Linked DNA regions of Cricetulus griseus. The main gene of each other region encodes a partner of the protein of the gene in region 2 in a complex. Links are inferred from orthologs where the notes say so. Each region holds a gene or a part of one and is shown on either strand. Other genes may lie near its edges. The genes, in order: Eif4a1 and Kank1.

What was found.
Region 1: the proteins of Kank1 (region 2) and Eif4a1 are in contact, whole or in part, in a crystal structure (PDB 7DDX), measured with the Mus musculus proteins. The link is inferred for Cricetulus griseus from reciprocal best matches to the Homo sapiens genes KANK1 and EIF4A1. Residues at the interface, in NP_852069.4 of Mus musculus: Gly1168, Asn1169, Asn1171, His1175, Tyr1176, Val1178, Asn1201, Lys1202, Ala1203, Tyr1205, Met1209, Leu1210, Leu1213, Ala1214, Ala1215, Gln1240, Ala1241, Leu1248, Ser1251, His1252, Arg1254, Asp1273, Glu1274, His1285; in NP_659207.1 of Mus musculus: Lys99, Val140, Arg141, Val144, Gln145, Lys146, Leu147, Gln148, Met149, Glu150, Ala151, Arg168, Arg169, Tyr170, Ser172.

The regions. Positions count from the first base shown.
Region 1 is NC_048600.1:83,511,643-83,514,585, forward strand, and holds the end of Eif4a1 (eukaryotic initiation factor 4A-I), read right to left. Parts: intron 2,446-2,943; coding exon 2,277-2,445; intron 2,232-2,276; exon of another isoform or gene 2,091-2,231; intron 1,999-2,090; coding exon 1,889-1,998; intron 1,793-1,888; coding exon 1,649-1,792; intron 1,572-1,648; coding exon 1,434-1,571; intron 1,347-1,433; coding exon 1,257-1,346; intron 1,208-1,256; exon of another isoform or gene 1,062-1,207; intron 1,001-1,061; coding exon 921-1,000; intron 828-920; coding exon 683-827; 3' UTR 515-682; downstream 1-514. UniProt on the Homo sapiens protein: ATP-dependent RNA helicase which is a subunit of the eIF4F complex involved in cap recognition and is required for mRNA binding to ribosome.
Region 2 is NC_048596.1:35,876,598-35,880,418, forward strand, and holds part of Kank1 (KN motif and ankyrin repeat domain-containing protein 1), read right to left. Parts: intron 2,131-3,821; coding exon 1,988-2,130; intron 1,464-1,987; coding exon 1,263-1,463; intron 1-1,262.

The DNA.
Region 1 (2,943 bases), on a different chromosome or scaffold from region 2:
TTTTGTGAAGGGTCCTGTACTGTCAGTACCAGTTTTCAGTACATAGTGGATCACTTGATATATTTTGAACACCAGCAGGAGGCAACAACACAGTAATGAACCACTATAGGAGCTGACCCACACAAACAGCAGGTGGGAGAGGAACAAACAAGAAGCCCAAACAGGCAGTTTCCAAGTAATTTTATTCAGAATTTTGTGTTTGTTTCCTGAATCAATAAATACTATACAAAACAATGTAAAAATGGCTACCATTTTCTCTCCCCTGCTCCCCTCACCTGGGGACAATTCCCTGGACAACTTCATGCAGGGACTCTCCCTGTAGATTTGGTCCAGCAAATGAGGCCAGACATGTTTTAGCCCCTTGATTCACTTTTGGAGATTTGGCTGGGGTAGTAGGAAAGTCTTTAGAATCAGGTTAGGGGAATGGATTAGTGTTTTGGGGTTGGGGGAAGGAGACGGCGCCTGGGGCAGAACCTACCCCAAAGAAAAGGGTATCTATAATGTTCACGGTTCCTTCTTTTTGCCTCAAAAAGTGACATTTATTCAAAGAGAGAGAGAGAGAAAAACAAAACAAAAACAAAAACAAGATGTCCATCCCTTGGCTCCCTTCCCTCCCCCCTCCAGCTGTTCCTCAGCCCCCCAGGACTGAACCCTGGCTAGAGCCAGGTAACAGGACAGCCCCTCAAATGAGGTCAGCAACATTGAGGGGCATCTCTTCAATGGAGGTGTTGTAGAATGTCTCAATGTCTCGAAGAGTCCTCTTGTCTTCTTCTGTCACCATATTGATAGCCACACCTTTACGGCCAAAGCGACCACCACGACCAATTCTAAGGGCAAAAAGGGATAATAATGGAATGGGGAAAGAGGATGACATTTGGATTTCAGCGCTTGGGTATTTGGCACTGCAGACCCTTACTTACCTGTGGATGTAGTTTTCCCTGTTGGTGGGAAGGTCGTAATTGATGACTAAGGAGACCTGCTGCACATCAATGCCTCTGGCCTAGGTCAAGAAAGATCACAGAACTGTCAGAGGGTACAATCTGTCCAACTGATTTAGGAATACATGTAGGCAGCCAAGGCAGGGAAAGGCAACAAACAAGCATCTCTTGTTCCCCCAGAGACCTCAGGCATGCCAGGTTTTCTTCCAAGTTGCTACGTTCCTGAAAGGGGCACTAGTCAGCCCCTTGGAGAGGGAATCACCTTGGACTCAACTCCTCCCACCCCTCTTGCTTTTCCTGAAACAGGCCTCTACTCACCAACAGGTCAGTGGTAATTAATACTCTGCTAGAACCAGACCGGAACTCCCTCATGATCACATCTCGTTCCTTTTGGTCCATATCTCCATGCTAGAAAACAAGTAGCACAAGGCTTTTGGCATTCTATGCTTAAAACACAAGCACACACAGCTACTTAGAAGATCTGAGAAAACTTACCATGGCGGAAACAGTGAAATCCCGGGCATGCATCTTTTCAGTGAGCCAATCCACCTTCCTTCTGGTATTGATAAAGATTACTGCTTGGGTGATAGTCAGGGTTTCATACAAGTCACACAATGTGTCAAGCTTCCACTCCTGGAGATCCGGAAACATCAGTCAGGGGCTATACCCAACAACTTACTACCAGGTCCGCCTCCTGCACTAGGCCCCACCTCTCTTTCCACATTGATGTAGAATTGACGGATACCCTCCAGGGTCAACTCTTCTTTCTTGACAAGAATCCGAATGGGGTCTCTCATGAACTTCTTGGTCACCTCAAGGACATCTGAGGGCATTGTAGCAGACAACAAAACTACCTAGTTGGGGAGAGAAAAGTGGATGGCAATAAGGGTTGCTTGTCCTCCTCACATCACAACCAAGCCATGGGTTATCCTATGAAGACAGCAGCTTACCTGTGTGTTACTGTTGAGCTTTTGGAATATATCATATATCTGGTCCTTGAACCCACGGCTTAACATTTCATCTGCTTCATCCAGTACAAACATCTTGATGTATTTGGGGGCTAGGAAGACAGAAAAGATACCAACACATAATAAGAGAAATGTGAAACATTTAATTAAGTCCCTTAGTAAAGGGACAGGCAAGGAGCAGTCTGCTCTCAGAATATAAGGATTGATCCTTTGCCTAAGGCCTCCCTGCCAGGCCAGAAAATAGTCCTGGTAAGTAGAACACTACCTGGGCTAAGGCAACAGGGAAGCTGGGCTCAGATGACACGCATGGGGTTCATCACAGAGCAACTAACATCCTAGGAAAGTGCGACAACTGTAAAATGGCACTCACACAGGTATCTCCGGTTAAGCATATCAAACACCCGGCCAGGGGTGCCCACGATGATATGGGGAGCTTCCATCTGCAACTTCTGCACCTCAGCACGCACATTAGTGCCTCCAATACAGGCATGACAAGAGGCACCCATGTAGTCTCCTAATGCCATGACCACCTTTTGAATCTAAACAAAAGACAACTAAGTTAGCTTCGGCTATATACACCTGGAAGTTTGTTACTTTCCCCTTTAATCCATTTATCTAAAACTCTCCTTAAGACACCCCCCCACACACAAATGGCAGAATCCTTGTTTCTGAACACAGGCTAACAGTTAAGTTTTCCATCCTACACAAAACCCTCTAAAATACCAAGCCAGGCCACGCCAGCCCTTATGGCTTAGAACTAACTCACAGGCTCCATCCTGCCATCACATTCCAAAGGCTGGGATTATGAACACAACAATGTAAGCAACATGTTTATTATATATCCCTGCCACAGAACCAAAGACTTCCCTTATTGGGCAAGTAAGCATTCCACTACTGAGCTACACCCTCAGCCTGCATACAAACAAAACACAACCCCCCCACCCATGACACGGACAAACAGGACTCCTTGCTTACCCCAGCACCCAGATCTTCAGAATAATCACTAGGTTTAAACATTAGTAACCAAGAGGCAGCAG
Region 2 (3,821 bases):
TGCATGCATGCATGTATCTTCTGGAAATACCAGGGGAGAAACACTGCATATGAGATAGAAACATCATTTTGTTAATTGCTTGGTTTTTATTAAATTGCAGGGCCTGAACTGGCTATGAAGGAACTAAGGCAGAGGACAGTGCAGCTTATTTCCTGTCTGGTTTTGATCACAGCAACAGGAAACGATTCCCATGTTGAATGTTAGCACCCTGCCCTCCCACACTGGGAATCCAGGGAGCAGCTTTTCTTCTAGAGGTCAGATGAAGGTTGGCCTACTTGTGAATGGATAAGGAAGTGAGCAATCAGCCGGGTAGCCAGGATTTCTGGTCTCCATACTGTTATAGATTCTTACTACAGAGACAAGTTTTTAGAAAGAAAGCAATTGAGCAAACTCCCAAACACACACAACAGAGATTGTAGTGGGGGAAAGGCAAGCTGTAAACTCTCGCTCCCAGAGCAAGTGAAGGGAATTGTATGTTCCCTGGAGGCGGGAGGGGGTTGCCCTTCTACCTAGTGAAGACCTCCCCTGCTTTGCTTGTTGGAGTGAGCCCAGCAGGATCTGGAATTAATGGCAAAGGAGGATATTTTTCCTGTAACTAACTTTATGGTGTTTTGAAATGAAGGAAAGCACTGGCTTGAACCCGTGTTCCACAGAGAGAAACTTTCAAAACCAGGATCCGCCTGGTCTGACCTCTGTTGACCTGAACCGGTTCCACAGCCCAAGTGCTAGTACTATGCTTTCTGCCTGCAAGTGCATGGTCTCTTTGGCCTGTCCTCTTGCAAGGTTTATCTTGGAGTGGGACAGACTAGAAGCTGAGTGAGAAGGTTCATTTGGTGGTGATGGAAACAGACCAAGCAGAAGTGGGAAAATGTACAGTCACAGAACATCCATGTTGCTAGGCCACGGCGGCTCCCCTGTGACACTGCATTTGCATGGCTAAGTGGTCCATCGAAGGGAAAAAATCCCCAGATTTCTACCGAGAGACTGCTCACACACTGTTCCCGCCGAGTGTGATTTTGTAGGGCCGACCTGTTCACTCCCATTAAGGGACACTGGTTCTCATCATCTTCCTTTTATGAACTCAAGGGTGAGGTCTATTTATTTATTTTTGCTCTTGGCTAATGTAGTGTCAGACTATACATGGTAAATGCTGCTCAGTTGGGCTATAAAAGGAAGAGGTCTGGACGCCACCAGTCCACAAAGAGCAGGACAGAGGGGGCCCATACCCGCCCGCCTCTGGCTAGAGGCCCAGTGGTACTCACATTGTCCTCCAGCTGGCTATTGCAGCCTGGCTGGGCCAGCAACAACTTGACAATCTCTACGTGCCCATGTTCACTGGCACACATCAGGGCAGTGGAGCCCTCGTCGTCCTGGATATTGACATCAGCCCCACAGGCCAGTAGGCCCTTCACCATGTCTATTCGCCCATGGCTGACGGCCAGCATGAGGGCTGTCTGTCCTGCCTATGAAAGAAATGAGGGTCAGATTCAGAAGTACAGATTGAGCAGGAAGGCTGGGGGATGGGTGGAGTAGATGACACACAAAGGCACTGGAGCCAGGAGCTAAGGAAGAGCACATAGGATGGAGTCAGGTTTTCACTAGAACTCTGAGGATGTCTTAGTATAGCAAGGTAGATAGCTCCAAAGAGGTTCAAATTCTGAACACATTTAGGCTTAGAGCTCTGGGTCTGGCATAAAGCCAAGAAGGCAAGAGAGTTGGAATCAGTAGGCAATGAGTATATGGTGAGAACCCTAGACAGTAGGGTCCTTTGTATATAAGCATATTTGTGGTTTCCCTGCACACTGCCTGGGCGGCCAGACAAAGCCGGAAGATGTTTGCACTGTGGGACTGAACCCACGTGTCACTGCTGTGCTGGTCAGTACACGGACTGCAGCTGTCAGTGTGCCACCAGTACTTCTCTGTCAACCTGGTCACATCAGACACTGGCCAGGGCAGGGATATCTAGCATAGTAAGCAAGACACCAACCTGACTGGCCTTGGCGTTCACGTCTCCACAGCCAAAAAGTTCTTCTACAACCTGCATGTCCTTCTCTGCCTCCACGGCTGCAAGTGCTGCCAGCATGATAGGCGTGTACCCCGCCTTGTTCTGGTGATCTACGTTACACACGTCTACAAGAAAGAAATCTCTTTAGAGAGAGTCATCTAGAGTAGCAAGTGTTCACAGGAAGTGTGGCGTTTACAAGAGCCCTGGGAAAAGTGCTCTGGGAATGAAGACAATTAAGAAGGAAACACTTGTCTTTATGCCCTGTCTCAGAGCGCTGGTAGCAGCAGAAACGGCAGTAAGTTACTGCAGTGTGCCCTGCTTGTGACCGGTGATTTTGGTGGGACAGCTTGGCGGTGTGGGAGGACGTTCTAAGTGTACTCGCTCTGGAGCATAAGCCCTAGTGAGGATCTAGACCGGCACATGTTCAGAAACGCAATCACAAGACTTCTAATGCTAGTGCTTGTTCTGTGAGATCAATATTAACGCACTAAGTCCTCCAAGATAGAAAGTGCCAAAGACTACCTGACCCCATAGGCTACAGATCTTCTGTTCTCAAACCTCAAGAAGTGTTCCAGGGCTTTAATACAACACCAGGATGAAGAGTAATGGAAAGTAGCTTTTATATTGAGCAAGTATCAAGTTACAAGTGTAAGACGGGACAAGGAGAAAACTGCCCAGGACCCCACTTCATTACATAATAACACAATGGACTGTACAGAAGGACTTATGTGTAGGAAGCAAAGACTGCTGGTAGCAAAGTGGGTACACACATGTACCCAAGGTCCTCAGTCCTTCCACACAGAAGCACCCAGTGTTACATTTTATGGAGCCAAAATCTATTCAAAATAGTAAGCAATAAAAAATGTAAATGAAGTAATTAACTAAAACCACCTAACAACGGAATCAATCCAATTTGCCAAGATATCCCTTCTAGGGACTGGAAAGATGGCTCAGAGGTTAAGAGCACTGAGTGCTCTTCCAGAGGTCCGGAGTTCAATTCCCAGCAACCACATGGTGGCTCACAACCATCTGTTATGAGATCTGGTGCCCTCTTCTGGTGTGAAGATATACATGGAAGCAGAATGTTGTATATAAAATAATAAATAAAATCTTAAAAAAAGAAAAGATATCCCTTCTAGGGCAGAAAAAAAACCATTTATTTCCAGAGCAATGCTGCAATCTTGTTCTCAGCATCCCTGGGTATCAGCCACGTCCCTAGTTTAACAGTATCCCCAGCTAAAGTTTACAGATGGAAGCAGTTATCCCCTTATGTGGGCACTGGAATAGAGAACATGCAGCCTGTAGTAGCTCACTGAGAGTTCGTGTCCAGCATGCAGAAGGCTGCTAGCCATAGCTCCAACACCCCCACACCAAGAAAAGGAAGACAGAAATGGAGAATAGTAACAAATGATAAGCATGCTTGGATTCTTCTTCTTCTCTGTATTAACAGCTCCGAGATGGAGTAATGTGCATCAGGCCATCAAGAGACAATCAAGGAAACCAGGGAATTTCATCACATAAATCAGGTGTTGACATTGTGTCTTCACTGGACTGAGTTGTGAATTCTGTGTTAGTGGCATATCAAAAATACTATCTTGATGATGGAAGTGATTTGGGGGCTGTCCCACTTGGGCACATTACTGAAGGGTCACTTTCTCAAGGGGCTCCTTCTGTACTGCCCTCTCACTTTATGTGTAGTGTGACCCAGAGCTGCATTCTGGGATGGCACGTTCTCACCAGTGTCAATTAACAAGGTTTGGCGGTAATGGGAAACCCTGCCTCCGATTTTTGTCATTCTTCAGGAGTCATGGAGTTG